Saccharomyces cerevisiae S288C: one gene and its partner. The main gene of each other region encodes a partner of the protein of the gene in region 2 in a complex. Each region holds a gene or a part of one and is shown on either strand. Other genes may lie near its edges.

Region 1 (4,453 bases), on a different chromosome or scaffold from region 2:
TCCCTAGCTGAACTACCCAAAGTATAAATGCCTGAACAATTAGTTTAGATCCGAGATTCCGCGCTTCCACCACTTAGTATGATTCATATTTTATATAATATATAAGATAAGTAACATTCCGTGAATTAATCTGATAAACTGTTTTGACAACTGGTTACTTCCCTAAGACTGTTTATATTAGGATTGTCAAGACACTCCGGTATTACTCGAGCCCGTAATACAACAGAACATATGAAATATCTGGTCTCTTGGCCCAGTTGGTTAAGGCACCGTGCTAATAACGCGGGGATCAGCGGTTCGATCCCGCTAGAGACCATATTTTTTTGTACAAATCTCTTCTACTACTGCTAAGACAGTAAGTAAGAAATACGAGACTCCAACAATGTACTTTTTTTTTGCTTTGTACTGCTCTATCGATACAAAAAATCCCTATAAAATAAACATATATATGTTTGCTGCAATGAGAATGGAAAAAAAATTAAAAAAACTCACATATAATCTCAATAACGGCCATTTCTTTGGCTTTTGTTAGAAGATGATCGGCCCCTCTTATTCTTAGGACCCTTGGGGAAGTCGTCCCTATTATAGCTGAACTGGCTCGAATAATCGTTCGTTCTGTTGTTTTGGCTACTTCTGGGGAAATCTAAGGGGTGTGTCTGAACTCTTTTATTTTTCGTCACTTTGTAGTTCTGTGCGCTAAATGGTGACTTCTTCTTCCTGTTATTACTGCTTTCATATCTATTATTGCTACTATTTTTGTTCCTTGTTGACTGCACTTTGCCCTTCCATTTCATTTTATCTCTATAAGTCCTTGAGCCAGGGAGGTCGTATGCATCGTCGTTATATTCATAGTCAAGCAGGTTGAATTCATGTTCGTTATCAAAGTGTTGCCTTTGTGAAGCTTCACGTTTATAGTCTTTCAATTGGTTAAAATAGTGTTGTTTAAATTTTGTGGCTAAGTTATCACCGCAAAATGCACTTCCATCAGTGTTCGGCACTCTCGATGACCTTCTTTCAGCACAGTCATCGCCAAAATGACCGGCATTCCCACAGTTATAACAGAAAACTGTTTGAAAATCGAAGTCACCTTGGTTAGCATCTTTTGTTTTTAATAAATAAGATCTCCAAATACTAGGACATCTTTCTCTTGAGTGTCTTTTGCTATTGCAAAGCGTGCAGAACACCTTCTTCCATTTATGAGGACACTGTGATTTATAATGGCCGTTTGCATTACAATTAGTGCAAATAATAGCCTTAGGGCAGTGTTGTGAGTAATGATCATCCATAAACCCGCAGTAAGTACATATCACATGGGGACAATTCCTTTTCAAATGACCTCTTTGCGAACAATTATTACACTTTGGCTCTGCCTCCATTATCGCACCGTTTGAGTCATAATCTGTTATTCCAAAATACCGTCCTTGGCCACGTAAAGTCCTCAGTTCCTCTGGGTTAGCATCTACATCCTCTATGGAAGGAGCCAATAATTTATTAAATGATGACGAGTCACTTCCTGTCGGTGTTGTATCCTTCACATACGGCAAAGTATCGATACTTTCTACCTCAGATAACAATGTCGACATAATATCTTAGCTCCGTGGTCCGCTTCCTTTGTATTCCTCATGTGAGAATGTTGGACCTTTCCCACTCATCGCATCGCTAATTTTTAGTAATTTTTCATTTTTTCATGGACCAAGAAATTGAAAAGCCTGTCAATGAGCTTTAACAGTAGCAAGAAACAAAGACAAAGGACAAGCGCCTATGGAAGTCACTTTAGAAATATTGAAGTCACATTTTCATATAATATATAAATGAATTTACAGATGTGCCATTGTATATGCTGACGCAAACGCTTTCTTTTTACTGTTTAAATGACTCTTACCTTGTGATATGTATAAATCATCATATACGGCTATCTTGCTAAAAAATTTTTTTCGAGGAATTTTCACTTGAAAAAAATACTTGCGATGGCAACAAAAGAAAGTTAGATAAATCGTGCATTAAATGATGTGTCATCTGAAAGATTACAGGTTAACGAAAAATTAACAGCTAACAGAGCAAGAAAATAAAACGGAGATGAGTGCTAGTGAAGCAGGTGTCACTGAGCAAGTCAAAAAGCTGTCTGTCAAGGATAGTAGTAATGATGCCGTAAAACCAAATAAGAAAGAAAACAAAAAATCCAAGCAACAGTCCTTGTACTTGGATCCTGAACCAACTTTCATCGAGGAAAGAATTGAAATGTTTGACAGATTACAAAAGGAATACAATGATAAAGTTGCTTCTATGCCACGTGTTCCATTGAAGATTGTCTTGAAGGATGGAGCCGTTAAGGAAGCCACTTCTTGGGAAACCACTCCGATGGATATTGCCAAAGGAATTTCTAAATCTTTAGCAGACAGGTTATGTATTTCTAAGGTTAATGGTCAATTATGGGACTTAGATAGACCATTTGAAGGCGAAGCCAACGAAGAAATCAAATTAGAACTGCTAGATTTCGAATCTGACGAAGGTAAGAAGGTCTTTTGGCATTCGTCTGCCCACGTCTTGGGTGAATCTTGTGAGTGCCACCTAGGTGCCCATATTTGTTTAGGTCCTCCAACTGATGATGGGTTCTTTTATGAAATGGCTGTTAGAGATAGTATGAAAGATATATCTGAATCTCCAGAAAGAACCGTCTCCCAAGCTGATTTCCCAGGATTGGAAGGCGTTGCCAAGAATGTTATCAAGCAAAAGCAAAAATTTGAAAGATTGGTCATGTCCAAAGAAGATCTTTTGAAAATGTTTCATTATTCGAAGTATAAGACTTACTTGGTACAGACAAAGGTTCCAGATGGAGGTGCTACTACCGTCTACCGTTGCGGTAAATTGATTGATCTATGTGTCGGCCCTCATATCCCACATACTGGGCGTATCAAAGCTTTCAAACTATTAAAGAACTCTTCTTGTTATTTCTTAGGTGATGCGACAAACGACTCTTTACAAAGAGTTTACGGTATCTCTTTTCCAGACAAAAAATTAATGGATGCTCATTTGAAGTTCTTGGCGGAAGCCTCTATGAGAGATCACAGAAAGATTGGTAAAGAACAAGAATTATTCTTATTCAATGAAATGTCCCCAGGTTCTTGCTTTTGGTTACCTCATGGTACTAGAATTTACAACACTTTGGTTGACTTGTTGAGAACCGAATACCGTAAGAGAGGTTACGAAGAAGTCATCACTCCAAACATGTACAACTCCAAATTGTGGGAAACCTCAGGTCACTGGGCCAATTACAAGGAAAACATGTTTACTTTCGAAGTAGAGAAGGAAACTTTCGGTCTAAAACCAATGAACTGTCCAGGTCATTGTTTGATGTTCAAGTCTAGAGAACGTTCTTATAGAGAATTGCCATGGAGAGTTGCAGACTTCGGTGTTATCCACAGAAATGAATTTTCTGGTGCCTTGTCTGGTTTGACTCGTGTCAGAAGATTCCAACAAGATGATGCTCATATCTTCTGTACCCATGACCAAATTGAGTCTGAAATTGAAAATATTTTCAACTTTTTGCAATACATTTACGGCGTTTTTGGATTTGAATTTAAGATGGAATTGTCCACTAGACCAGAAAAGTACGTTGGAAAGATCGAAACCTGGGATGCCGCTGAATCAAAATTAGAATCTGCCTTAAAGAAATGGGGTGGTAACTGGGAGATCAATGCTGGTGATGGTGCTTTCTACGGTCCAAAGATTGACATTATGATTTCTGACGCTTTAAGAAGATGGCATCAATGTGCCACCATCCAATTAGATTTCCAATTGCCAAACAGGTTCGAATTGGAATTTAAATCTAAAGATCAAGATAGCGAGAGTTACGAAAGACCGGTCATGATCCATCGTGCCATTTTAGGGTCTGTTGAAAGAATGACTGCCATTTTGACCGAGCATTTTGCTGGTAAATGGCCATTTTGGTTATCACCACGTCAAGTTTTGGTTGTGCCAGTTGGTGTCAAGTACCAAGGGTATGCTGAAGACGTCCGTAACAAATTGCACGATGCTGGCTTCTATGCCGATGTCGATTTGACCGGTAACACTCTGCAAAAGAAGGTCAGAAACGGGCAAATGCTAAAATATAACTTCATTTTTATTGTTGGTGAACAAGAAATGAATGAAAAATCTGTTAACATTAGAAACAGAGACGTTATGGAACAACAGGGTAAAAATGCTACTGTTTCTGTTGAAGAAGTTTTGAAACAGTTGCGTAACTTGAAAGATGAAAAGAGAGGTGACAACGTCTTAGCTTAATGAGATTTTATGTAGTTAAATTTTGACTTATTTAATTTATGTTTTGTAAAGAATAAAATGAGTATGATGAAGGAATCTTACCTCTATTAACTATTTCTTCTTTTTTTTTCCTTCGATAAGATGTGCGCGAATTCAATATGGAAGAAAGCAATTTGGTATGCAGATGGTGTTC
Region 2 (3,966 bases):
TAAATCAATTTATTTTACGTTACGATAGAGCCAGCGGGCCAGGAGGCCAAAACGTTAATAAGGTAAATAGTAAATGTACTTTGACACTTTCTGGTTTATCAAACTGTGCTTGGATTCCTCAGGAAGTGAGAAACATCTTAAGTAGCGGCAGGTTTCGATACTACGCTAAGGGCAGCGATTCTATAGTAATTCAATCTGATGAAACTAGGTCAAGGGAAACCAACAAATTAAAATGCTTCGAGAAGTTGGTTCAAGAAATTCGGCAAACGTGCCAATTTCCTAATGATACCACTGCTGAGACCTCAAAGAAATGGAATAAAATAAAAGAGAAAGCCAACAAAGAGCGACTTCTTGACAAAAAAGTTCACAGCGATAAAAAGAAAAACAGAAGTAAAATTAAATTCAATTATTAATACATAATACGCATATTTAAACACACATTCTATCCAGGTACACAGTGATGTACAGTTCAGTGCATCATTTAAACAAAAAGGCACATATTAAAGGGTATAAGGATTATATCCATCTTCATCATCATCTTCGCTAGAGACAGTGATATATGTCTCTCCACTATTTCTCTTGGCCGGTTCACTTTCAGGTTTTTCTTCTATTTTAGCCTTCTTAGCAGGTGGGTTCGTTATTTCATAATCATCATCTGTTGTGGTAGCGGTGGCTGTGGAGGTAACTGTATCTTCGGCAAAATCTTCATCATGAATTATTCTGCTACGTTTCTTGTGATAGTTTTCATTTTCAATAATAGCCTTATTCAGTACTAGACCTCTTTCATCCTTGAAATCTCTTGCCTTTCCACGATATTTGATCACGTTTCCCAATATACTTTTCCCCAATCGATCCTTAAAAGTTGCTGAATGTAATTCAAAACATCTATTCGTCAACAGATCAAAAGCACCAGCAAATGCCTTTTTAATATCTCGAATGTTAAAGGACCCTCGACTGATGTTATTTGATTCATCACCTGGATCTTGAATGGCCAATGAAAATGGATTTTTAATAGGCTGAATAGCACTCCATGTCGATTTTGGAAAGTATACTGGATATCCATCCGATGATCCCAGTGCAACATCATCATAACCAAAATTTTTCCCATAAAGTTCAAAAAACTCTATCAGGAGCACACCCAAGTTGTCCTTTGGATCTATTTCGTTAGTTATTATACGTGGGTGCATATGCAAAAAGGAAAAGACAAGACATATAATACTAAACCCACCAAGACCACCGGTATGCACATTATTTAGTCTTCTTGCGTGTAGGAATTGTTTTACGATAAGGACTAATTCTCTCAGGCCGGGGGTATCGTCCAACCACTCTCTAATAAGCTTTGCTGCTTCAATACCATTTGTTCTCTCAAATGAAACATCTATGTGGATCCCTGAATGTGGCTCAACAAACTTGATGATTGGAACGCGAGCTTTGGCGACAACTTCAACCTCTGTTGCCAAATTTTTTTTTTTTAAATGGCTTGCTAACGAATACAAGTTATTCCTACTTTCCTTACCACCAAGTTCGCTCGTTACCACGCAATCAATATCGGAACCAGGCAAATACAAATCGGTAGAATATGATCCAAACACGTGCAAATCAGCATCTGGCCATAACTGTTTGACAGCCTCTCTTATTGTACTTATGGTTTGATTACGAATTTCAATTTCTTCACGACTTGGTGAGATATAGGCAACAAAATCCTTGATTTCAAAGGTTAGCCAGTCCGAGATTTCTTTCTGTTTGGAGTGATCATGATTTAAAATCCATGGATAATCAGTATTAAGGATTTCCTTTTGCTTTTCTTTTTTAATTTCTAATTCTTGTTTCTCCCTCTCCTCTTCCTGTTCGGCTTGCTCATCCTCAGAACTAGCAGAAAGAGAGATAAAATCATCATTGTTAGCAAGATCCTTCTCATCCCCGTGCACTGCTAATGAAGGCGTTTTACTTTCTTCAGTAGTCGAGGGAATATCAGTAGGGTTATCGAAATGTCCATCGTAGACATCGAATCCTTCATCATCATCAGATTTATGTTCTAATACAAGAATTCCATCCGCCGTGACGTGATCTTTAGGTAATTTATTTGTCTCTTGCTCATTACGACTAGGTAAAATCTCTACTTCGTTTTCGTCGTTCAAGGATATAGACTTCTGTGGTTTCCGTACTTTCTTGATTTTCTTGCTCTTTTTCACTTTCCCATTATGCCGGTTTTTAATCTTCTTTGAAGAAGAGGCTGTTACACTCTTTGCCCCCATATTTCAAGTATAGTTCCCTTGCTTATTCACACTTTATGAAAGCGTAACGTTTTTGGTCGTATATTCAAATGGTTTTTTTTTAATGAAACTTAATAGTTATTCTATATTATTTTCCTCTTTTTTTTATTTTATTTTTTTTTTCACACATTATTTTAGAATCATATACAAGAAGCCGAGGATGAATACAGGTTTCTTCGACACTCAACGTGATAATCAAAAGGCAAGATAAGAAAACTGAGTAAACCTAAATATCTCACGCTTGGGATCCTTTACTTAAATTCAGTTAGGTGTTCAGCTATTCTAAATTCAAGAGCGTAAAGTACAAGGCATATTATATAGATATGTATACGTATACAATTGTTGTTGGCTGACTTCTGAGTTTTATAGGATATTATTAGAGATTATTGTTACAGATACAACCCACTTTAAAGGAAAGTCCAATTATTAATTTATTAAGAAAAGCATAAGTGTTACAAGGGCTAATTTGGGATAAAGGTGAATACACAAGAAGCAAATGTCACTTCAAAGTCTCTGGAATATGAGAACTGTGGCATAACCAACCAATAGGTTGTTTAACCTTCTGTTTATCATTAACATATCTTGAGTTTTCTAATATTTCAACAACATAGTTTAATGAATACCCACGATTAAGGCCAGTTTGAATGGCTTTCCAAAGAACCTTTCTTCTCGAATATCTTTTATTTACTGCTGGATCTCGCCTCCATGCCGTTTGATAAAGAGCTTCCATTTTCCTTATAGAAGGCTGCCCGTTAACACCTTCTGTATACTCCTTCCAAACCTCCATCACAGAGTGTGGTGACTTGATAAATTCGAAGGGTCTTGTGCAGACTATTCGTTTCCGTTTCAATCCTGTTTTAGTCTCATACTGTTCCTCCTCAAATGTCGGCACGCTCTCTTGTGCATTTGATTCAACCGCATTTTCATGGTTAGGAGAAACTTTCTGGAGATTAGGAGACTGCCGTGATTGAGAAGAGTTGCTGCTTATGTACAGTCCTTGACTTTGGCCACCATCATTGTTAGGTGGATTTGCTGAATACTCTTCCAAGGATGGGACTAAATTGGAATTATAATTTTGCGGCTTGTTGAACCGAGTGTCCACTGAAGGGTTGGTGCTATTATTTTCTTGGCTTATAGAATTTGAGCTGTTAGTTTGTTGTTGACTCTTATCATTTTCTTGTGAATTTCCATTCAAAATGTCCTCAAAAAGTGTTTCATTACTAACAGCTCCTTCATTTTGCGGATGAGCAGTTTGATCATTATTCATAGGCACTGAAGTATAATTCCTAGGAGCTCCTGGTGCCGTAGTTCCATCAGTGAAGCCTTGTGGGTCAAGAGTTTGGCTTAAGGATATTGACGTAGCTGACACCCCATGCAACGTTCCGCTTAATTTTTCACTGAGAATTTCAGCGTGGCGTTGTTGGTCATTCAGCAATGTTGATAAAAACGCGGTCAGTTCGTTGATTTGTTGCTGTTGGGAGTTTACCACTACATCATATTTTTTAAAGTGAAGATCGAGACGGTTACTTAACGCGTGAAATATACCCTCAAACATCGACATACGCCTTTCCAGCTCAGCAACGCGGTTGGTTAATATAGCCTCATTCTCATTTAGGTTTGAAGCTCCTATGTGCTGGTTACTTGCCATTTCGATGCCTACCTTGAAATAATCTCCTTTTCTGATTTGGTTTCT

Evidence for each region. The genes of interacting proteins can lie anywhere in the genome.
Region 1: PAP2 (region 2) and AIR1 share a complex: the UniProt entries of both Saccharomyces cerevisiae proteins name them as parts of the TRAMP complex.

The regions. Positions count from the first base shown.
Region 1 is NC_001141.2:210,423-214,875, forward strand, and holds AIR1 (TRAMP complex RNA-binding subunit), read right to left. Parts: upstream 1,584-4,453; coding exon 501-1,583; downstream 1-500. Other genes in the region: threonine--tRNA ligase THS1, read left to right, coding at 2,077-4,281. UniProt on the Saccharomyces cerevisiae protein: Component of the TRAMP (TRF4) and TRAMP5 complexes which have a poly(A) RNA polymerase activity and are involved in a post-transcriptional quality control mechanism limiting inappropriate expression of genetic information.
Region 2 is NC_001147.6:99,764-103,729, reverse strand, and holds PAP2 (non-canonical poly(A) polymerase PAP2), read right to left. Parts: upstream 2,256-3,966; coding exon 501-2,255; downstream 1-500. Other genes in the region: PTH4 (Pth4p), read left to right, coding at 1-413; MSN1 (Msn1p), read right to left, coding at 2,773-3,921. UniProt on the Saccharomyces cerevisiae protein: Catalytic subunit of the TRAMP complex which has a poly(A) RNA polymerase activity and is involved in a post-transcriptional quality control mechanism limiting inappropriate expression of genetic information.